Elephas maximus indicus: one gene and its partners. The protein of the gene in region 1 interacts with the protein of each later gene in a pairwise test. Links are inferred from orthologs where the notes say so. Each region holds a gene or a part of one and is shown on either strand. Other genes may lie near its edges.

What was found.
Region 2: the proteins of WIPF1 (region 1) and HOMER3 interact in binary tests that used the Homo sapiens proteins (3 or more experiments, as listed by UniProt). The two-hybrid records come from large-scale screens. The link is inferred for Elephas maximus indicus from reciprocal best matches to the Homo sapiens genes WIPF1 and HOMER3.
Region 3: the proteins of WIPF1 (region 1) and FASTK interact in binary tests that used the Homo sapiens proteins (3 or more experiments, as listed by UniProt). The two-hybrid records come from large-scale screens. The link is inferred for Elephas maximus indicus from reciprocal best matches to the Homo sapiens genes WIPF1 and FASTK.

The regions. Positions count from the first base shown.
Region 1 is NC_064824.1:72,796,401-72,804,119, forward strand, and holds the start of WIPF1 (WAS/WASL-interacting protein family member 1), read right to left. Parts: upstream 3,093-7,719; 5' UTR 2,925-3,092; intron 1-2,924. UniProt on the Homo sapiens protein: Plays a role in the reorganization of the actin cytoskeleton. Contributes with NCK1 and GRB2 in the recruitment and activation of WASL.
Region 2 is NC_064821.1:38,794,678-38,802,641, forward strand, and holds the start of HOMER3 (homer protein homolog 3), read right to left. Parts: upstream 3,032-7,964; 5' UTR 2,927-3,031; intron 1,176-2,926; 5' UTR 1,120-1,175; coding exon 1,106-1,119; intron 1,031-1,105; coding exon 874-1,030; intron 679-873; coding exon 547-678; intron 1-546. UniProt on the Homo sapiens protein: Postsynaptic density scaffolding protein. Binds and cross-links cytoplasmic regions of GRM1, GRM5, ITPR1, DNM3, RYR1, RYR2, SHANK1 and SHANK3.
Region 3 is NC_064838.1:12,133,299-12,141,210, forward strand, and holds the start of FASTK (fas-activated serine/threonine kinase), read left to right. Parts: upstream 1-4,858; 5' UTR 4,859-4,962; coding exon 4,963-5,044; intron 5,045-5,140; exon of another isoform or gene 5,141-5,791; coding exon 5,792-6,214; intron 6,215-6,875; coding exon 6,876-7,055; intron 7,056-7,220; coding exon 7,221-7,360; intron 7,361-7,879; coding exon 7,880-7,912. Other genes in the region: TMUB1 (transmembrane and ubiquitin-like domain-containing protein 1), read left to right, coding at 3,074-3,462, 3,756-4,107. UniProt on the Homo sapiens protein: Phosphorylates the splicing regulator TIA1, thereby promoting the inclusion of FAS exon 6, which leads to an mRNA encoding a pro-apoptotic form of the receptor.

The DNA of each region.
Region 1 (7,719 bases):
TAGTCACCACCCATCATCTGTCAGTGGAGGCATTATGTCTTGTAATGCTGAACTGGATTTGGCAGAACTTCCTGATTATGGTGGACTAGGAAGAAAGGCCTGGGGTCTACTCCCAAAAATTAGACAGTGAAAACCCTATGGACCACGATGGTCTGATCTACAACCAATCATGAGGATGGGGCAGGACCAGGCAGTTCTGTTCTGTTCTGCATGGGGTCACCATGATTCAGGGCTGACTCAATAAAAAAAAAAAAAATGGCAACTGATAATCACAAGAAATAAAATGCACTTTTGTTTATTATTAACTTTCTGATGTGCACTGTAGATGCCACATGTCTTAGTTACCTAGTGCTGCTGTAACAGAAATACCACAAGTGAGTGGCTTTAACAAACAAAAATTTATCTTCTCACAGTTTTGAAGACTAGAAGTCTGAATTTAGGGCACCAGCTCTAGGGGAAGGCTTGCTCTTCTCTGTCAGCTCTGGAGGAAGGTCCTTGTCTCTTCTGAGCTTCTGCTCCTGGGCAATCTTCATGTGGTTTGGCATCTCTTCTCCCGTCTCCACTTCTTTCCCTTGCTTGTTTAATCTCTTTTATATCTCAAAAGAGATTGACTCAAAACACGCTCTACACCAATCCTGCCTTGTTAACATAACAAAGACAACCCATTCCCAAATGGGATTACAACCATAGGCATAGAGGTTAGGATTTACAGCACATGTTTTGGGGGGACACAATTCAACCCAGAACACCACATATGTACCTAAAATTACAACAGCCAGGAACACCTTGGAACACCAAAGACAGTGACACAAACCCAGTATGTAATACTGCCCACAAAAATGGGTTCGTCCCTTACCAGAGCAACTGAGACAATAAATACCACCTTCTCTTCACTCCCACCACCTTTTAGCTCATTAACACTCTTAAGTCTTGGTGCCCCACACTGTATGGTGTCTGGGTGGCCTCGTGCTGGCACTTTTTGCTGTTTTACACCCATTATCTCATTTGTTCCTCACACCCTTTAATGGAGGAAGAGCAAAGGTTATCAACCCCACTTTTTGGAAGAGATAATTGAGGCTCAACTTGCATGATATGCCTAGGAGCACCAGGGAATGGTTGAGCACACAGGAGACAATTTGTGAAATGAACAAACAAGTGAAAGAAGACATCAATCCCCCCCATCCCCACACCAAGCTGGAAGTGATCTCATTCTCTCTAAACGTCCCAGGATTAGATCTGTACTTTGCTTACAAATTTCTTTCCTCTATATCACAGTCTGAAAGTTCGTGTGCTTCTCCGGGAGCCAAAATTATTATGGCAGGGGTTGGGTAGATCCAGGGGAGGAAGACAATTTTTACTAACACCTGCAGGTTCTACTCTGCACACTTCCATTCAACATATAACACAGAGGTAGCTGGGGATTTGGAGAATAACATCACACCCCGTCCCTGAGAAACTCAACCTTGTGGGGATGACAGGCAGGCAAATACACGGCAACAGTGGGAGGCAGCGTAAGGAGGGATTAAGATGCAAGGTGCTGATAGCCTGCTCAGGGTTCTCTCACCTCAAAAAGTCAAAGGGTGATTTCCAAAATGGTAGCACAACATTTTTTTTTTTTTTAGCACGACATTGTGAGAGTATTAAATGCCACTGATTTGTACATTTTAAAATAGTTAATTTAATGTTATGTAAAATTTACCACAATTTTTTAAATCCGTTTAAAAAAAAGATTTACGAAGTGAAATAGGAAATTTTTAGGGAGTTATTTTATCCGTTATAGAAATGGGTGCTTTCGAGGTGGGCAAAAAAAAAAAAAAAAAGCCAACGACTGAAAATGAAGCTACAGTATTGTTTTCTGGTTTGGGAAACCGGTAAAAGAAAACCCAGTCAGGGTGGGGAATCTGTCCTGGCTCTGCAGCTGCCACTAGCCTGAGTCTGAGGATGAGGCGTCCAGTGAAGATCCGGGGGTGGGATGGGGGGGGGCGGGCGAACTGAGACGCGCTTTCAGAAAAAGAGACCCAAGTCCACCCAGTCACTGCTGACAACTCGAGAGGCTTCCCAGGGAACTCAGGGCAATGAGCCCGTGGTCCCAGAGGGACTATTCATGGAATAAAAAGTAGGACCAAAAATTCCTCACACAGACACACCCTTTGTTAATCTCAAAGAGTTCAAAGTCTACCCCCGACCGAGGCTAGCTGGTTTCTCTTAAACCTGCAACTCTTTTTAACTGTTATTTAAAAAAAAAAAAAAAAAGGAAGAAGAAAAGGATGTTAATATCGAGAGGTACGGGAGCGAGACTGAGGTGAAGCTGTCCCGAGGGTTCGGCACAGGCCTGGCGAAAACTATGCCAGGAACTGGAAGCGCCTCCAGTCAACCGACACATAGATGGTGCGCGTCTGCGCCGACCCGCGGAGCCGGCTGTCCCAGAGCACCCGGCGGGAGGCCAGTTTGGGAGCCGAGCGCCGAGAAGCCGCGATTCCCACCGCGAGGACGACGGCTCCAGCGCGTGAACTGGCCCCGGGGACGCCCGAAAGTCCCCGCCCGCCCGGGCGGGGTGCAGATGCGGGTCCTGCGCATCCCGGCTAAGTAACTGCTGCGGCCGAGGTCCGCGGGCTCAGGGGGCGCCCCGCCCGCGGTACCACGTCTGGAGCCCTCCTCCCCGGACAACCCGCCGGGCCTGCAGGAGGCGCCGGCCGGGAATGGCGCCCCTCCCTCCCGAGGCCGGGAGACTGAGCGGGCCCCGTGCGCCCGCCGCCCGCAGGGACCCCGCCTCGACGGCCCGCGCCCCCGCCCCGCGCCACTGCGTGCCGCACGGCGCTACAGAGCCCCGCCGTCGAGCCGGCCCGCCCCGGCGGCCGCGGGGTCCCCCTGGGGCTATCCGAGACCCCGGAACCCCGCCCCCGGCGGTGGCGGCGCGTCCTTACCGCGCAGCGGCTCCGGGCGGCTCCCCTGCCCCGCAGCGCGCCGGGCATTTTTTCCGGGAAACCTCTCCCCCGGTCCGCGAGGGCTGAGCCAGGCGGGAGGAAAAGCGCTCAGCGCCCGGAGGCTGCGACCATCCGGGAACTTCGCCGTGAAGTAAACCCTCCCCCTCGGCTCCCCGCCACCCCCCGGCGGGCCTGCCACATGTGGACGCGCGCGAGGCCGCCGCCGCGGGCCTTGGCCTTGTGCTGGGGGCGGACCCCCTCCCGGCCTGGTGCTGAGGCTCTGCGTCCGCAGCCTCGGTTCCCACAGGATCGTGGCGGGAACGGGTGGGTAGGAGGCCAGGGCTCTTGCTTTCCCCAGCCCCCTTTCCTGCTCGGTGAAGGGACGAGACTGTGGGGTCCGGGACAAGGGTTTGCCGAGAAGCGAGACCGGGAAGGAGAGTCCGATCACGGTGCCCTTTTCTCCAAATACCGGCCTCATCTCTGAGCTTCCGCTGCTGCTGGGGGTCCCTCTTCCCCCACCTGCAGGGAAAGCTTTTCCCATCACCTTCCCCTGTTCACAAAAGAGAGGGTCCAGTTTTGAGACATCTTAAACTTCTTTTTAAAAATGGTGTAAAAGCTGTTCCTTCCTGCCCTCCCCCTCTGGTGGGTCACAGGCGTGGCACCCAAAGAGGCCCAAGGTCCACAGGCATCTCCTCCCCTCAACTATGTGGGGACATAGTGCTATTTTTTCTTTGGAAAGATCCGCCTATCTGAAGGGGAATCTTTCAGTCGTTTTGCAGTTAGTGGGGCTGGATTTATCATCAGCCACCCACATCCTCAAATATGACCTTCCTGTGATCAACAGTAAACAGAGAAATCTGAGGCCAGATCTTGCAAACCCATACTTACAAGACTCTGACTGGCCGTGAAGGCTGCCACCCCCAGACCCCAAAGAGAAGTTAACACTAAGACGACGACACAGTAGAATGTGTGCATTAGAAGGACAACAAAAAGTTATTATCAATATAATAACCATTTAATCATATAGTTAAAATGCCAAGGCTGTGTATCCCCTTGAATAAAAGCAGAAAAGGCAGGGATATCTGCACTTGAGACCTGCTATCCTAGGCTGAGGAGGTTGTTTCTCCTTGACTCCATGCTTTCTCTGCTCCCTCACTAGTCCCATGTGCACACTTGTATCTGCACATGCTTTTAACAGATACAGTAACCCTTCTGGGAAGATTTAATAACATGGCTAAACTCTTCCCATGACAGATTTTTTCCCTAAATGTGCCCATCATTTTAAGATTCATTATATATTTGCCTTTCTTTTTATACCATTTCTAAGGTAACATACACCTATTATGTTTTATATAAAAAGAAGGCAAGTGATTCCAAATATCAATATATCAAGAGTTCCAGATTTGAAAATAAATCAGTGGCACTTAATCACAGTGTGGCCTGCAAGTTAAGCCCAGGAGCTGCCTGGTTTCCCTTCTAGCTCTCTGACATGGATTGAATTGTGTCCCCCCAAAATATCTGTCAACTGTGCTAGGTCTTGATTCCCTTGTATGATTCCATGATTGTCTACCATTTTATCATCTGATGTGATTTTCCTATGTGTTGTAAATCCTGTCACTATGATGTAATAAAATGGATTAGTGGCAGTTATATTGATGAGATATGCAGGATTAGATAGTGTCTTAAGCCATTCTCTTTTGAGATATAAGAGAGAAAAGTAAGCAGAGACACATGGGGACCTCATACCCATGCCAGGAGCAGAACACGTCCTTTGGACCTGAGGTTCCTGCACTGAGATGCTCCCAGACCAAGGGAACATTGATGACAAGGACCTTCCTCCAGAGCTGACAGAGAGAAAGCCTTCCCCTGGAGCTGATGACCTGAATTTGGACTTGTAGCCTACTGGACAGTGAGAGAATAAATTTCCCTTTGTTAAAGACATCCATTTGTGGTGTATCTATTAGAGCAGCACTAGATGACTAAGATACTCTCTAAACCTCAATTTCTGCTCCAGTAAAATAGAGACGGTAGTTCTACCTCCTAGGATTGTTGTAAGGATTAAATGGGATAATTCTTCCAAAAATGAGCAGAGTAGTGGCACACAAGTCGAACAGGGGTCTTTGTTTATCTTTGATTTTCCAATGTCCAGCCAAGCTACTGGCACTTTTTAACAGATTGATTAAACATTTGTTGGGTCAAGAACTCTCTTGGGTTTATGCCTTTCAGGGATCCATATTATGAGTTTTTGTATTAGTGTACGTAGAAGAAAATGAGGAAGGTAAAATACATGCTCCTCCCCCATAATTTCATTATCAAAAGCCAAAAATAAATGGTGTTCTGAATTGTCCATTATTTTAAATCATTGCCGTGGGTTAAGGAAATTAAGTTTACTTAAAGAATTTGTTCTTTGCGGTTGGTCCCTAAAGATAATCTATAAAACCTTGGAATCTTCCCAGTGATTGAAGTTTCTTTTATCTGTAAGGCTACAGATTACACCTGAGAGTTTATGCTAGTGAGGTGACTCTTGGGTAGGGATTGGCCAGGCCAGAAAGACTCACCATGAGGTATCAGCCTGACATCAGGGTGGATTCAAACCACCAATCTTTTGGCTAGTAGTCAAGTGCTTAACTGTTTGCACCACCTAGGGACTCCATGGGCACTTAATTACATCAGCAAAGTCCCTTCATAGCAGCACCTAGATTAGTATTTGAGTGAGTACCTGAGAGGAAAAAAAAAAGGCCTGTTGCCATTGAGTCGATTCTGACTCATAGCATCCTTGTAGGACAGAGTAGAACTGCCCCATAGAGTTTCCAAGGAGTGCCTGGTGGATTCAAACTGCCGACCTTCTTGGTTAGCAGCTGTAGCTCTTAACCACTATGTCACCAGGGTTTCAAAAACCAAACTCATTGCCATCAAGTCAATTCTGATTCATAGCAACCCTACATACCTATAGAGTTGCTATGAGTCCGAATTGACTTGACGGCGAGGGGATCACCCGAGATAAGTGTGCATAAACCAGGGATCAGGAATCTTGGAGCCATCTTAGAAGTCTGCCTATTACAGATATCAATATTTATCTTCCTACTTCCCTAAATATGTATCTACCTCATTCTTTTTAATAGGTACATATTATTTCACTGCATGGTGTATCATGATTTAACCAAATCCCCTATTAGCAGGCGTATGTGTTACTTCCAGTTATTTGCCTTTAAAAAAATGCACAATAATCATTCATTCTCATAAATCTCTGTGCATCTATGTACTTCTATAAATAAGTATTCTAGAAGTAAAATTGCAAGGTAAAAGGGTTTGCGCCTTTTGATAGATATTACCAAGTTGCTGTCCAAAATGTCAGTACCAAGTTATACTTCCAATGACAGTGTATGAGGATTAAATACCTAATTCTTGTAAATAATTAAACTCTCTTCGTAGACAGTTTCATCAGGAGGCTATGAGTGTAGTGCTTAAACACATGGGCTCTCAGTCATGTCACCTGGCTACCAATCCTGGCTTTTTCATTTCTTAACTGTGTGACCTGGACAGGTAGCTAAGCCTTAGTTTCTGCATCTGCAAAATGAGGATTGTAATAGTACCTCCTTGCGTTAGTTATCTGTTGCCATGTGTTATGGATAGAATTGTGTCCTCCCCCCCAAAAGATATGTTGAAGACCAGACTCCTGTACCTGTGAATATAACCCTATTTGGAAATAGGTGGTCACACGGGAGTAGGATTCTGAATCCTAATCTCCTTTGAATGGTGTCTTATGAAAACAGCAGAGCAGACACAGAGAGATACTATAAGGGTAAATGCAAATTGAAGAGAAAAAAATAAGTATACATAATATTCCCTGATGCAAAAAAGACAAGACCTCCCCTTCCCTGTTTTTTTGAGCATTTACTTTAGATGTCTTGTAGTTGTAAATTCTTTGCCTCTTGAGAAGTCCTCCTGAATGGCTAGATAATCTTCCTGCCAGTTTTACAACCCCGGGATGTTTCCTGAGGGAGCTGGGAGCCATCTTTTTCAAATGTAATTAGTAAGGAAGTAGCTCCTCTGGCCCTCAAGTTCTGTGGGAGGGTAAAAGCCTAACTTTGGTGGGCTTCAAGCTCTAAAACTACCTTCTGTTATAAAGATATCAACAGCTTATTTTTCCTTTGGCCATTAACAAACGCTGGTGGCTACCCTTATAACCAGGTGAATCTGAGATAAACGGTGTTGTCAAGCTTCTTATCCTTTATCTGGAGAGCACGTATGTAATGGGTTGCATCTGCTTGCCTATATAAGGTTCAGGTTCCTTTCTGTCTTTGCAATCTCTTTAGCAGACTGCCACTGTGTTCTGGTTTAGGGTTTATGCAATAAGAAAACTGTTTTCTTTCTCTTCTGCTTTTGTGGAGAGGTTTTCTGGTTTGGGAGCAGATTTTGTTTTTAATTATTTTCCCCAACAATACACAGAAGAGGGTGGCCATGTGACGATGGAGGCAGATGAATCTACACGCCTAGGAACACCAAGGATTGCAGACAGCTGCTATCGACTTGAGGGCACTGGATGGGCTAGACCTGGTGTCGCAGTGGTTAAGCACTCAGCTACGAACCGAAAGTTCAGCAGTTTGAACCCACCATCTACTCCATGGGAGAAAGACATGGCAGTTTGCTTCCATAAAGTTTTACAGTCTCAGAAACCCTATGTGGCAATTCTTCCCTGTCCTATAGGGTCACTATGAGTCAGAATCAACAGCATGGGTTTGGTTTTCTTATCAGGCGAGAAGCCAGGAGAGAGATATAGGTAGAACAGTTGCTC
Region 2 (7,964 bases), on another chromosome or scaffold:
AAGGAAACCAAAACCTATTGCAGAAGAGTCGATTCTGACTCATGGTGACCCCATACATGACAGAGTAGTATTGCTCTGTAGGGTTTTCTTGGGTGTAATCTTTACAAAAGCAGGTTTCCAGGCCTTTCTTCCAAGGCACCACTGGGTGAATACAAACTGTCAACCTTTGAATTAGTGTTGTTGTTGTGTGCCGTCCGTTGATTCTGACTTATAGCAACCCTATAGAAGAGAGTACGACTGCCCCATAGGGTTTCCTAAACCATAATCTTAGGACTCTAAGATCTAACTAATCTCAGATTGCCAGGTCTTTCTCCCGAAGAGGTGCTGGTGGGTTTGAACCGCTGACCTTTCAGTTAGCAGCTGAGTGCTTAACCACTGCACAACCAGGGTTAGTCCAGTGCAAATCATCTGTACCATTCAGGGACCTGGAAGGTGTTCAGGCTGGTCCAATTCCATGTGCCCATTTGGAACTGTCCCAAGTGCCCACTTCACCCAGGAAAAGTCCCAGGCCCATCCTGTCCTCCCAGTCCCTTCCCACAGACCTACCTGGGTCAGATGCTGTTCAGATGCAAAGCCAAGGCCGTAGACTGTATTGGCACGACTGTCTGCCCATTGCCCGAACTTCTGGGAAGTTTTCGTGAAGGTCATGTTGGGGGTGACAGTGCTGTTGATGATGGCCTGGGGGGCAAAGTTCAAGGGACCGATAATAACAAACATGAAAAGCTCTGAGCATCACTTTGGAGGAGGGCTCGGAGGCTTTGCTCTGAGCTCTTTCAGGAGGGGAGACTGCAGCCTAGGAAGATGCAGGCTACCCCCTGCCAGGGGGCACACAGCAGGGACCCCTGGTGCTCCCTACCCCTAGATCCGCCTCACCTTGGCACCCCCGATGCTGATGATGCGGTAGACATTGCGGGTGGCATCGTAGAAGTAGGAGACGGTGAGGGCGTGCTTGCCCGCGGGGATCCAGTTCCGCTTGGTGGCTGGGTCAATCTGGAATACGTGAGCTCGTGTGCTGAAGATGGGCTGCTCCCTGGAGGAAGAGGGCATTCAGCGGGGTGGAGCTGCACAAGGGAAGGCTGGGGATCGGGGTAGAGGGGGTGCTCACCTGGTTGTGGACATTGGTCAGGCTGGGCTGGGCAGGCTCCAAGGGGTGGCCAGAGGAGGGGCAGGAGCTGCTGGTTCAAAGGGTTAAGCACTGGACTGCTAACCAAAAGGTTGGCAGTTCAAACCTACCCAGAGGCGCCTCAGAAATAAGGCCTGGCTATCTACTTCCAGGAAACCCTGGTGGCATAGTGGTTAAGAGCTACAGCTGCTAACCCAAAGCCTGGCAGTTCGAATCCACCAGACATTCTTTGGAAACCCTATGGGGCAGTTCTACTTTGTCCTATATTGTTGCTATGAGTCAGAATCGACCCAAGAGCAGTGGGTTTGGGTTTATTTCATATCTACTTCCAAAAGGTCACAGCCTTGAAAACTCTACGGAGCACAGTTGTACTCTGCACATGTGGGTCCCGTGCGTCAGAATCCACACAATGGCAACTAACAGTAACAACAACCCCATCTCAGGGAACCCCCACATCATGTGTGGCAGGAGACGCCTCTCTAGGGGAAGTCAGATGTAGTGGAGCCTGAGGGGCCCGGGGAGGACAGCAGGTCTCCTCTCAGCATTCCTGGTATCCCATCATGAACCCCCCACCATCCTGGTCACTGGAGATATCCTGTGAGCCCCCGCAATCCCAGGCTGAGGGGAAACTACTTTCCACCAGATGCATCCAGCACGTCTCAAACCAGGGTGTACCAGCAAAAAGTGGGCCAAGCCCAGGTGCCAAGTGGGAGGCCAGACCCTGCTGGACCCATGAGGGATCCCCAGCTCTGACCCTGGGGCAGTGGCACCACTAGGAGTCAGAGTCCAAATCCCCGGAGAGACCACCACTCCATCAGAAGGATAAGATGTAGCCACACAGGTCCACCCTAGGTGCAGGGTGGACTCCAGATAGAGGAGATTGGGCTCCCCAGCCTCTTAGTAGGTTCCTCTAGCCACCACCCTACAGAAGCCAGGACAAGCAGCCTGGAAGGAGACCTCCTGATGCCCCTCCTGCAGCTCCAAACCTGCAACCAGGGGGTCTGAGGGGACCTGGGAGAGGCCAAGGATGGGGAAGTTGCGGGGGGAGGGGAGCCTGACCCAGCGGTCTCTGTGGTCAGAGCGGGGGTGCCCCCCTCCACCCGTCATGGGCAGCTGCTGTCCCGGTCACAGGTCTGAAACCCGAGTCCCTGGGCTGGGGGAGGGGCGGCCGTTCTGGCCGGGGCTGGGGGCGGGTCCAGGGCCGGCCAAGTTGGGAAACGCCGGAGTCCTCTGAACTCAGGCGCATCCAGCGCGGTAGCTCTTGCCTTGACTTGTGGCGTTCAGGCAAAGTTACTCATGTCCGAGTCACGCACCTAGGACGCCAGCCGCCTGCGCCGGGCTCCCCGAGGGGCCCGACCCTGCCTGGTGACCGGGGATCCCCAATCCTGCCGCAGGAGAGGCCCCACTCCGCGCACCCCAGCCCAGGAGGCCTGGTATTCAGCTAGGACCGGGGTCCCCACTCGTGCCAGGAGCGGGGCACCCCGTGTGCGCCCTAACTTCAGAACGCGCCGACCTTGGAACTTCGGGGATCCCGGGGACAACCTGCTATTCTGAGTTTGGAACTTCGGGGACCTCCATCAGTCGGTGACCTAGAGTCCGGAACTTCAAGGACCCCGCGTCGCCCCCCAGTTTCGAGTCCGGAACTTAGAGGACCGCCGCGTTGCATCCCTCCATCCCGGGTCCAGAACTTCGCAGCCCCCTTCGCCATCTCTCGACCTCGACTTTGGGGACACCCTGCACCCCTCCCGACCCCGAAGCTTCACGGTCTTATGTCCCCACCCCGGTCGGTCTCGCGGGGCTCACCCTGCCGGGTCGGCCGCCGAGTGTCCGGGCGCGAGTCGGGTGCGGCCCGGCGGCACCAACTCCGCGCAGGGCCGGCCGGGCGCCGCTGCCTCGCTCCGGGCCTGCCCGCCGCCCGCGCCTTTGTCTGCGCGCCGCCGCCGCCTGCGCCGCCTCCGGTCCCATCGCAGCCGGTCCCGACGCGGCAGCCGCCCGCCCCGCCTCCCGGCCCGTGAGCTCCCCGCAGCGCCCCTGCTGGCGGCCCAGTGCGCCGGTAGGCAGGGGTGATGGGGGGAAACCCAGGGAGGGGGCGAGGAGCAGAGAGAGGAGCTGGGCGCGGGTCGGGGGTGGGACAGACAGACAGACGGCAACAGACATCTGGGATGACAAGGACACCCAGAGGTAGAGAGATAGGCAGAGACACAGAAGGACACAGAGGAAGAGACGAACAGAGACTGTGGCCTCCAGTCACCACTTGGGGGCCCACCCTAACCCTCCAAGTCACTGCTGCCAGCTGCCCTGGTTGCCCCGGGTCATGACCTTAGGCTTGGGATGGGGGTTAGGTCCCTCCCGGTCAGGTCCCCCCTGTCAGGTCACTCCATAAGGTCCTGAGGCAGGGGCAGGTCTACCCACCTTGGGGATGCCTGAGTGTTGCTGGGAAATTAAGACATCTGGACCAGAAGAAGTGGAAGGGGGACAAAGAGAGAGAGGCAAACAGTAGGCGCTTAATGGGGTTGGCCTGGGGCACCTGCTCAGGATCCTGCCTGCTCTTCCCCGAGCCCTGATCCCTCTGGCCTGGGCGTGTCTGCCTCTGATTCCCCAAAGACAACCCCATAAACTGGGGATCATGATAATTACTGCTGTTGTTATAGGGTCCGAGGTCCAGGGTGGAGGGACTGTCAGTGTCCAGGTGGCAGCCCTGGGTTTGCACTCTCTGAGCTCAAGGTGCCTCCCCCTTCCTGCAGCTGTGACAAGCAGGTCTTTTTGGGGTGGCTGAGCTAGCCCCAGCCTGCCGGTGGGGCTCACTGGTTAGTCCTGTTGCAAAGGGACATTTGGTGGGTGGGCAGAGGCACTGGACTCAGAGCAAGTCCTGGGTTCCCTGAAGCTCCAAACCTAACACGTGAGTTTTCCAACACCCTCAGAGGTTCTGACTTTTGATCTGCCAAGGCCTTGGAGTGCTCTCATCTCTTTTCCCTGTTTTTTTCATTTCCTTTCCCCAAGAACAATCAGGGGAGGTTACCTTCCCCCAAGCTGTGTGTTCAGCCTCATGGCATGGGTCGTGAAGGTAGCTGCCAGCTACCTTCAAAGACCGTTAGGTGAATAATTGAATACCAGGACTTGTTGCTTCTGAAGACATTCCCAGCCCAAGATCAGAATCCCCCTCCCTCTGGGCCTTTGCCCAAGCTGTTCCCTCCACCCAGAAGACCCTCCCTGTAGCATAATTCTGCCTGGTCCTTCCTGGCTCAACTCTACTGCCCCCTCCTCAGAGAAGCTTCTCTGAATATCCTGGGCTTGGAAGGGACCTTATTTTTCCTCCCAACCCACCATCCATTTCCTGTGATCTGAGCCAAGTTACCTGTTTATATCAGTGGGGCCCAGGTGTGAGTTTTCCTTGAGGACCAGTCCCCCCTGCAGCCCCTGCCTCACTCAGCACTGGAGGGACTGCTCACCGGAGTTGGGGAAACCGAGGTGCAAACTCTGTCTCCCCCAGCTGCTTCTAACTTCATGAGGCATCTGAACAAGCAAAGTACTTGGCTTGGCTCTCAGGCCTGATGCCACGAAAGGCGCGAGATCTGTGGGGAACAAAGAAAATACCGTCTGTTCTGTGCAAAGAGTGACTTTTTCCTTATTACCAAAAAAAATAATAAAATAAATAAATAAATGGGAAAGGTTCTGGCCAGGCTGAGGCTCCTTGAAGCCACTGAGGGTTTGCCAAGGGGCTGGCTGGCTGCAGAACCAGGACCACATGATCCATTCTGTGGGGGCAGTTGGGCGAGAGGCCCAGGCCGAAGTTGCTCCTTGTGTGGGTGTGGGCAGAAAGCAACAGTGTGACAAGGAGGAGGGAGTTACATGGCTTCCCTGGGCCTCCTCTAGGGGCTCCAGGAGTACCTGGAACTTGGTGTGCCTTGAGCAGCCCTAACCTGAAGGTGTCTCCACCAGGTCCACATGGAGGAAGTGGCTTTCTCAGTGTAGGCCTCAGTTTTCTCACTTGGAGAATGGGCTAATGCTTACAGGGCTCAGGGAGGAGGTAGTAGAGAGGATCCAGGTGAACCAGCAGCTCCTTACCCTTCTGTGGGTATAGATGGGCAGGGGGCTGCCCTGAATTGCTGACCCCACTTCAGCCTGAGCCCTCCTCTGCCTAAGCCTTGGGACCTCTCTTCCAACGGACTGGGCATGTCTTTGTGGGCCACCACCCCAGGGAGGATAACTAAAAGCTTTCCTTTCAGGCTGAGGAAAGGAGTGAGGGAATGAGTTTCCTGTCACAGGAGAAATCAAGCAGTGGCCAGACTAGTTTGCTTGGCTCTGTGGAAGTTGCCATTTGTAGAGTGACTTTTATGGGTCAGACCCTGTCCCTGCCTAGTTAAATCCAACCTAACCTTCAGACTGAAGCTAAATCATCTCTTTTCCCTGAAGAGGTTGCCTTCCTGACAGACAGGGGATGTGAGGGGATGTAACGCTTCCCCCAGGCCGTGTATACAACCTCATGGCTTGGTTCACAGTGGCCACTTTAAATCTGTTTACGGCATGATTTGGTTACTGTCTACCTCTTCCATGGCTTTGTCGCAACACCCAGATCAAGCCTGACCTGTAGCAGGACCTTCAGAAATGCTTGCCGAAGGGATTCCCAGGCCCTAACCTTGGACCTCAGGGGCCTCCAGAGTCCAGGGCCAGGGAGTGAATTGCAGCCCCGGTTCTTACCAACAGTGTGACCAGGAAGGAGTCACTCTCCCTTGCTGTGCCTCAGTTTCCCATCTGTAAAATGGATATAAGAATGATACCCTCTTTTGAAGCTTGCTATAAAGATCCAGTGAATTCTTATATGAAGAGGGCTGACTCTATGTGCTCAATGAATACTTGCTGTTTGAATCATTATATTCCTGGCTGTCTGGGTGTGCGGTTTTTGATCCGGAGCCAAGTTCTTAACATTTTCTCTTTCAGAGGTTGAAGGGCCCCAAGCAGATGTGAGCTCTAGAGGACAGGAAATTGGTCCAAGCCAAACCTGTTGCCGTTGAGTCAATTCTGACTCATGGTGACCTCATGTGTTACAGAGTAGAACTGAGCTCCATAGGATTTTCTTGGCTGTAATCTTTAGAGAAGCTAGTTGCCAGGCCTTTCTTCTGGGGTGCTGCAAGTTGGGTTAGAACCACCAACCTTTAGATTAGTAGACGAGGGCAAGCTGTTTGTGTCGTCCAGAGACCTAGTCTAAATCCTCTAGGATCCTCTAAATCTTTAGCTCCTAGCCCCTTGTGTGTCCCTCAAGGCTCTCCACTTTTCCTTCTCACCACCCTCCTAGGCACAGCCAGTTGGACCAGCCTTCAGACCGTCTCTTCCTGGCAAACACCTATTCATCCCTCAAAGCCCCACCTCCAATACCCTCTACTCACTCCTCTCCCTCCAGACCCTCTCCAGTCCTCTCTCTCCTTCTGGTCCACCCTGACCCCAGGGAGCTTGCAGTGTCTGTGCCCAGCTCTGACTCCCCCAGCCTGAGGGCTCCCCGAGGCTCAGACGGGACTGAGGCTTCCCTAGGACTTGGCTTCTTCCAGCACAGGGTAGACACATGGGGTTCAGGGTGGAGGAGAATTTGATGACTCACTAATGTTGGTGATTTTTTGTCACTTTATGGTGACCCCACCTTAAATTCAAATCCAACTCAACTTTGACAAACAGCCCCCAGCAAACAATGGAGCCAGGCCTGCTCAGGCCCAGCCACGAAGGGGCCGGGTATGCAGGGGACAGTCTAGAGTCTGGAGGCTTCCCAGATAAAGTGTGCTGGCCCTGGGCTGTGGACTTAAGGGCCCAACACCAGGGCAAGGCAGAGGGCGGGGAGGAAGGAGTCGAGACCACTTCAAGCACCAAGCCAGGCTCTGCAGCTCACTTCCGGAAAACCTAATTACCCTCATTTGCCACACGCGCTAATTACTTCGGGGGCGCCAGGTGGTGGGGCGGGGCTGTCCCACTTTGGGGAGGTAGGTCGGCCGATTATTTTTGGCTGCCTTGTCCTTGAAGGCTCCACCACCCTCCCATATGAAGGGCAGAAAGTGGGGCAAAGAGATCGTAGATGCTGGGGGATGTGGTGTTGGGTGGGTCTCAGAGCTCCCTAAGCAGTGCGGATGGGGGTCTTTGGTGATGGGGCCTGGAGGGGCTGAGGATCAGCCAGCTCCCAGCGGACCAGTCTGGAGGCCTGTTTTAGATGTGACACTATTGGCTGGGGGAGTCAGGAGGCTCTGGTTGCAAATCTCAACTCCCACCGACTTGCCTCATATCCCTGGACATGGATAATAACTCACAAAGGGTGCTCCCAGCAGAGGGCATAGCCTGTGCAAAGGTCCTGAGACGGCAACAGACTCGGTGTGTTGGAGGAACAGCAGGAAGGCTGGCTCTGCTAGAGTGAGAGTGGTGGGGGACAATAAGGGGACAGGCGAGTTACAAGGGCTAGGCAGGGTCTTGTGGACCGTGGGCAAGTGTGTGGGTTTCATTCCGAGGGCACTGGGGAGCCATGGGAGGTTTTGGAGCCGAAGAGGGAAAAGAGGGACATGATTGAATTTACACTGTAGGCGCCGGGTAGGGTTTCAGCTCTTATGACTTTTCTCTGAGCCTCAGTTTCCCCAACTGTTGCAGAGGTCCTGAACCTCAGTAGAGCCTCAGCAGCCACAGGAAGCTCCCGGCCCTTGAGCAGAGCAGCCTGCTGCCTCCTTGCCACCTGTCTGCACTTACCCTTCTCCTTCTGTGGCCTGGAAGGAACAGCTGGGGAACAAAGAGGGGAGGCCACAGGGATGGTGGCACCAAGGGGATCCGGGGGCTGTGTTCTTGTTTGGTTGCAGCCTACGTGGGCTGCTGAGTG
Region 3 (7,912 bases), on another chromosome or scaffold:
GATACATGGTTGAGCTACATGTATTATCGTTTGTTTTATGGGCCTGTCTAATCTTTGGCTGAAGGGTGAACCTCAGGAGTGCCTTCAGTGCTGAGTTAAAAAGGTGTCCAAGGGTTAAATCTTTTCTTGAGATGGTCTTTAAATTCAAGTGGGATATATTCAAGATTGTACTTTGGCTATCATGGACTTGTTTTAATTTTCTTTGACTTTTAATTGAACTTGCATATGAGCAATTGATGGTCTGTTCTGCAGTTAGCTCCTGGCCTTGCTCTGACTGATACTGAGCTTCTCTATTGTCTCTTTCCACAGATGTAGTCAATTTGATTCTTGTGTATTCCCTCTGGGAAGGTTCATGCGTATAGTCACCATTTATATTGTTGAAAAAAATCTATTTCCAATGAATAGGTAATTGGTCTTGCACAGTTCTGTCATGCAATCTCTGGCATCATTTCTATCATGAAGGCCATGTTTTCCAACTACCAATCCTTCTTTGTTTCCAATTTTGTTTCCAGTAATTATCAATGCATCTTGATTGCATATTTGATCAATTTTAGATTGCAGAAGTTGGTAAAAATCTTCATTTACTTCATCTTTGGCATTAGTGGTTGGTGCATAAATGTGAATAATAGTCATATTAACAGGTCTTCCTTATAGGCATATGGAGGTTATCCTATCACTGACTGTGTTGTACTTCATGATAGATCTTGAAATGTTCTTTTTGACAATGAATGTGATGCCATTCCTCTCCAGTTTGTCATTACCAGTATATTTTTAGACCATATGATTTCTGATTTGAATGGCCAATACCGGTCCATTTCAGCTCACTGATGCCTAGGATATCTATCTTCAAGCATTTCATTTCATTTTTGACAACTTCCAATTTTTCTAGATTCGTACTTTATATATTCCACGTTCAGGTTATTAATGGTTGTTTCAGCTCTTTCTTCTCATTTTGAGTTGTGCCACATCAGCAAATGAAGGTCTCAAAAGCTTGACTCCATCCACGTCATTAAGGTCAACTCTACTTGGAGGAGGTAGCTCTTCTCTGGCGGTATTTCGAGTGCCTTCCGACCTGAGGGGTTCATCTTTTGGCACTATATCAGTGTTCTGCTGCGATTCATAAGGTTTTCACAGATCAATTTTTTAGAAGTCGATTGCCATGTCCTTCCTCCTAGTCTGCCTTAGTCTGGAAGTTCTGCCGAAATTTCTGCATCGTGGGTGACCCTGCTGGTATTTGAACTACTGATGGCATAGCTTCCAGCATCACAGCAACAGGCAAGCCACCACAGTACAACAAACTGACAAAATGAGTGGTGGATGAGAACCTTAGGGTAGGTTATTTTTAATCAAGACTGACCATCCAAGAAGTGAGGTCTCTGTGGCTAGAGGAGCCTAAAGAAAGGAGGGAAAACCCACAGAAATTAGCTGGTCCAGGCCAGGCTGGGGGTCACAACCTCTTCAGAGTAACGCTCTAATTTCTGAGCCCTGGCTTGAGTGGACGGAGTGCACCGATACCAGGTGAGCAACTACCTACTGTGTCCAGATACTTGGTTTTCATATTTATTTAGTAAAACATCTCATTTCTCATTTACAGCTGCCTGATGAGGTATGTTTTAGGAATGAAGAAGCTTAAGTTCAAGGACATTAGATAACTCTCCCAAGGTCATATAGCTGACACGCACGATAAGGATTCTGCGTTTCTGGCGGTTCTGAAGTCCATGCTTCTTCTACAGTACTACAAGTGCAAGGTAACGGACAAGGACCAGCCTTGGGGAGTGGTATCCTCAGTCAGCCTGGTGGGGCAGTCCATGGGTACTGGGTTCCGGGGTGCCTTCTGGCGTCCACTCCAACAATGGAGTAGGCCGCGGTAGGAGCCAGCAAAGCTATAGGGTCCAACCTCCCCAGAGCCTTCATTACTGCATCTCGAACAGGGCGCTCTGAGGTGCTCCAGCTGACTTTTTTCTGAAGGGACAAATGCCCGGTTGCTGGTAAGGGAGGGGTCGATCCAGCCACCGCCCAAACCTCTGGGGACCAGCGCAACCCCCAAGCCAGCCCCGCTCGGGCCCCTTAGCCACCCTCCTTCCTGGGCAGCCGGCCAAGCCCTCCGTGGGGCGCGAGGAGGGGGCGGGGCCGCGCCCGTCCGCGGACTACAACTCCCACAATGCGCCGGCCGCCCGGGAAGGAGGGCGCCTGCAGGTGCCTGCGGCCTCGGCGCCTGCGCCCGGAAGTGCCCGCGGGCCGACATGGAGCTGGCGGGGCTGGGCGGTGAGTACCGCGCGGGCCCGCTCCCGCCCCGCCCCGCCCGGGATCGCTGTGCCCTCAGCGGCTTGGGGGCGGGAAGATGGGAGGTGGATGGAGGAGCCGGGGGTGGGAGGGTGAGGTGTCGCCTTCCCCGGGCCGGGTCTGGGGTCGGCTGCGGCGTAGGCTCGGAGAGGCTCCCGGGGACGCGCGGAGTCGGCCCGCCGCGGGCTGGGGTGGGCGTGGGTCGGGGGGGCCGAGGAGGGTGGCGGGTGGCAAACCCCGGAGGCTGCCGCTTGCTTGGGGGCGGAGCTTGACGTTTGATGTGGGGGAGTTTAGGAAGCTGTTGGGGTTTGGCTGAATGGCAACGGGGGGCGCATAGAGGCCTTTCCGCCCCCTTGAAGAAACTTTAGCGACGGAGGAGTAGATAAGCTGTGGGGTGAAGTAGAGGGTGGAGTAGATAAGCTGTGGGGTGAAGCTTGGTGGGCGTTGACTTTAGGGGAGGAGTTCCTTAGAAGACCGGGGTCCTTACCTTGGGATGGGGTTTGAGTGAATTAGGGACCTGGCTAAAGAGATTTAGAACTCAGGTTACCTGAAGTTAGGACTTTCGATTTGGTGGTGGAGCGGGACACCTTGAAAAACACCTTGGGGAGTTTGTGGCGACCGGGAGTCCAAACAGTCTGTTCCGCGGGATGTGGCTTGGGTACAGGGGGCAGAGGAGTAAGGGCTATGGGAGAGCTGGAGTGCGTTCAGAGGGCTCTTGGCCAGAGAGCCAGCCTCTCATGGATTCTTTGTGCCTCTCCAGCTCGGTAGCGCAGCGGGCAAGGTGGGTGCCATGGCCCTGATTGAAGGGGTGGGTGACGAGGTGACCATCCTTTTTGCGGTGCTTGCCTGCCTCCTGGTGCTGGCCCTTGCCTGGGTCTCAACACACACTGCCGAGAGGGCCGACCCACTGCCCCAGCCGTCAGGGACCCCAACTTCAGCACAGCCGAGCAAAGCCGTGGTAGCTACCGATAGCATCAGAGGGGCGGCCCCCGGAGCTGAGGCCCCCAGCCTGAGACACAGAGGTCCAGCTGCACAGCCAGAGCCGGGCACAGGCATCCCAGGAACACCGCCACCACCAGACTCCCCACAGGAGCCCCTTGTGCTTCGGCTGAAATTCCTCAATGATTCAGAGCAGGTGGCCAGGGCATGGCCCCAGGACACCATCGGCTCCTTGAAAAGGTAAGCTGGGCCACAGCGGGGTGATGATCTGAGCAAAATGCTAAAGAATGTGGTGGGAGTGGTCACAGACCCGGGTGGGCCACCAGAGACATCCCCCTTACCTTAAAATGAAGGAACCAAGGTCCATAAGTTACATGCTGGTCCAGTCCTTGTCCCCTGGTAGCAGACCGCCCCCACTGAGGCTAGATCTGGTGGTGGGGTGTGGGGCAGAGAGGGGGGGCAGGGTTTTGTTCTAGGGCAGGGACCAGGATTGGCTGAGGCCTGCTCTCTTACCCAGGGCCCTCTCTCCTCAGGACCCATTTTCCTGGCCGGGAACAGCAGGTTCGACTCATTTACCAAGGGCAACTTCTAGGAGACGATTCCCAGACCCTGGGCAGCCTTCACCTCCCTCCCAGCTGTGTTCTCCACTGCCACGTGTCCACACGGGCCGGTCCCCCACATCCCCCCTGCCCACCGGGATCAGAGCCAGGCCCCTCCGGGCTGGAAATAGGCAGCCTGCTGCTGCCCCTGCTGCTTCTGCTGCTGCTACTGCTCTGGTACTGCCAGATCCAGTACCGGCCCTTCTTTCCGCTGACCGCCACACTGGGCCTAGCCGGCTTCACTCTGCTTCTCAGTCTCCTGGCCTTTGCCATGTATCGCCCATAGTCCCTCCACGGGCAGTGGGCAGCACTGCCAACCCCTCTGGACCTTGCTCCCCACGACGGAGTGGGAGCTGCTGTCTGCCCAGGCCTGCTTCTCCGGCCTGCCTCTTCCCTCTGTCCTGGAGCACAGACCCTCGCCGCCGAGGACTCCGGGGGCCAGCAGAGGCCCTTCCCTGTGACCTCCATGGCACCGAGCCCCCTCCTGGAGCTGCTGGCCCTCAGCTCCCACTGACAGTGGGCTCCTCGGGGTCAGGCAGCTGCTGTCGCTGCCTAGGCCCTGGACAGAGTCGGGCAACCCCACTGGGCCCATTTTAGTGCTCTGCTCTGGAAGAGGAGGACCTAGTCACCTCCAGTCCCTGATACTCCTTCGTCTGACCTGGGGACTCAGGGACTGCGACGCTTGTGGAGGGGAGCGGGAGCAGCAGATGGTGGTTTTCTGGAACACGTGCAGATTAAAAAGCTGAAGTTTTCACTCTCGCTGTGCCTGGGTGTGTGGGGCCCATGGCTGTGGGGCTGTGGGGCTGTGGGTCAGGGAGCCCTGGCCTACTGGGAGGAAAGGGAGTGAAGGACATGCAGTGGGCCCCGGCACAGCTCCACTTCTTCAAGCCGACAGGTGTCTCTCCTCTGCCCTGCCCTTCTCTGCCCCTTTTGCGCCTGCCGTCCTGGCCCCGCCTCTCGCCGGGCCCCGCCCCCGCGCCGCGCGCGCAGCTTCCGGGAGCCGGGGGCGGGGCTCGAGGCGCCCGGGCGCGCAGGGCCTGACGGGAGCCACGTCCTTGCGGTCTGAGGACCTAGCTGGGATTGGCGACCGGGGCGGCGGTGCTGGGGCTGCTGGGAAGATGGCGGACTCGGCAGCCCGCGGATGAGGAGGCCGCGGGGGGAGCCCGGCTCCCGGGCCCCGAGACCGACTGAGGGAGCGATCTGCGCGGGGCCTGGGGAGCCATGTAGGGGTGGCGCCTGTTAGGGTGGGACGAGGGAGCGGGGCGGGATTCGTGTTTGCAGCCGTGACGGTGGTCTCCCGAGGCCTGGGTGGGCGTGCGGGCCCTGACGTTTCCAACTCGGCGCCACTGCAAAGCTGGGCACTCGGGCTCCACAGGCGCCCCGCCAGGTGGGCGCTGCATTCTCATTTCACAGGTAAGGAGACTTAGGTAGAGAGACGAAGCCATTTGCCCAAGGTCACATAGCTGGTAAGCGGGAGCGCCTAGCATGGAACCCAGGACCATCCGACTGCAAAGCCCGCGCGTTCCACCCTCTGTGCCGCCGTCGCCTCCGTCGGGGGGACGTGTGGACGGGCTGACCAGGGCTCCAGACTGGGCGCGACCACCAACCCGATATATGACCTCGGGGGTAAGCCTGTTGTCTCTCTCGGCCGTGGTCTCTTCATCTGTGAAATCGCGAAGATAGTGGCAGCCCTGCTTAGCTCGTAGGCTTGTAAGGAGGATCAGAGGAGATGACGCATGTGAAAGTGCTTTGTAAATGGCACTGCTTTGAGAGCACTACCCGGTTTCGCAGGAGTAAGAGGGGCGGGGTGGGGAAGACTTAGAGCAGTCAACACTGAAGGGTGGCCAGGAGTCTGGGTCTGGGCCACTCTGCGCCAGGTCCCTCTGGATGGGGAGTGAGGTAAGGAGTAGATAGCAGATCTTTCTCCCCTTCGGAGAAAACCTCACCCCCTTTTTTGGGCCGCCCCTCAGGGTCTCCATCACCCAACTCCATGCTTCGAGTCCTGCTTTCTGCCCAGGCCTCCTCTGCTCGGCTCTCTGGTCTGCTGCTTCTCCCACCATTACAGCCCTGCTGTCTGGGGCCCAGCAAGTGGGGGGACCGGCCATCTGGAGGAGGCCCCCATGCGGGTCCCGTGCAGGGGCTGCAGCGGCTTCTGGAACAGGCGAGGAGCCCTGGGGAGCTACTACGCTGGCTGGGCCAGAACCCCACCAAGGTGCGCGCCCACCACTACCCTGTGGCGCTCCGTCGTTTGGGCCAGCTCTTGGGGCCTCGGCCAGGACCCCCTCCTGTGGAGCAGGTCACACTGCAGGACTTGAGTCAGCTCATCATCCGAAACTGTCCCTCCTTTGACATTGACACCATCCATGTGTGTCTGCACCTTGCAGTCTTACTTGGTGAGGAGAGGCTTGAGGAGGATGTCTCTGGTGGGTGGGTGAGGGGGAGTTAACGGAAAAGTAGAGGACCCAAGATTAAGACAGAATTAACCTTCTAGGCTTTTTGCCCAGGAATGGCAAATACCCTGGCACACTGGCTGCTGCTTTCCCTTCTCTATCCACATGGATGTCAGGAGTCAAACAGCATTCTTTCCAGCTTGGGGGGCACCACCTAGATTCCCTTTAATGTAGTGCTCTAGTAAGCCACTAAAATTTGTCATAATTGCATGAGATGAGAACTTGTTTGCCCTTTTTGTATAAGAGCTTCCCGCACAGGCTGTACTAACATGTTTCCATGGTGTTTTACATCCCTCCAGGAGCCCTGGTGGTGCAGTGATTAAGAGTTCAGGCTGCTAACCAAAAGGTTGGCCGTTAGAATCCACCAGATGCTCTTCGGAAACCCTATGGGGCAGTTCTGCTCTATCCTGTAGGGTCACTATGAGTCAGAATCGACTTGACGGCAATGGGTTTGGTTTTTTTGGTTTAGTGTTTCCGCTTAAACTATAGCAACCATCCAGATCAGGAAATGGAGATGAGAAAGGGGAATCCACTAACTTAACCCCAGGATTAGGACAGAGCAGAACCCTATTCCACGACTGCCTCCTCTGAACCTCTCCCTCAGGCTTTCCGTCAGATGGGCCCTTGGTGACTGCCCTGGAGCAGGAGCGAAAGTTCCGTCTCCCCCCAAAGCCACCTCCCCCTCTGCAGCCTGTCCTTCGTGGTGGGCAGAGGTTGGAAGCTGCTCTGAGCTGCCCCCATTTCCTGCGGCATCCACAGCAGCATCTGATCCACAGCCTGGCAGGTGCTGGACGGGGGAGTTAAAGGCAGGTGGGATGGGGAGGTGGCGGGGGTCGGGGGGTAAGGGCTGAGGAGGCGGAGACAGTGATGGCGTTGTCTGGGCTGAGTAGGAACATAGCTGATTGGAGGTCTGGCCTGAGAGTCCAGCGTGATAGGCTGTTCTTCACAGAGGCAAGGCCAGAGGAACTAACTCCTCACGTAATGGTGCTCCTGGCCCAGCACCTGGCTCGGCACCGGTTGCGGGAGCCCCAGCTTCTGGAAGCCATTGCCCACTTCCTGGTGGTCCAGGAAGCCCAGCTCAACAGCAAGGTGGGATTGCCTCCCACCCTTTCCTGCTCCTCTCACTGTGGTCATTCTCAGCCACTATCAGGCCAGCTCTGCCCAGCCCCGTCCAGATTTATTGCCCTTTTTTCCTACAGCCAGTTTACCCCCACTAGGCTGCTCTGCTCAATGCCCTGGAGCTTCCACCTTGGCTCACACCCTTTCCTTGGCCTGTCTGACTTAGCGTAAGCACCAGAGTGCTCAGTGCTTCGCAGTTTTTCAAAGCACTCAACACCATCTTGACTTCATTGATCCCGCTCCTTTGAAGTCATCAGGGTCAGACCCCACAGTGATTTTTCTCTCTGGTGATTAATCATATGGGACTCAAGAAACTGCTTATACTCTTAATTTATACTCTTAACTTCTGGTGTGTTATGTTGGGGGCAGAGGCATGGGGTCTGCCTCCACAACTACGTTATAAGCTTGAGGACCAAGGCTCCCTAAATTTCAGTTCATAAAAGACACTGGGTAACTGCGGCTGTGTAAAGCACTGCTTTTCCTCAACAGGTGGTACAGAAGTTGGTCCTGCCCTTTGGGCGG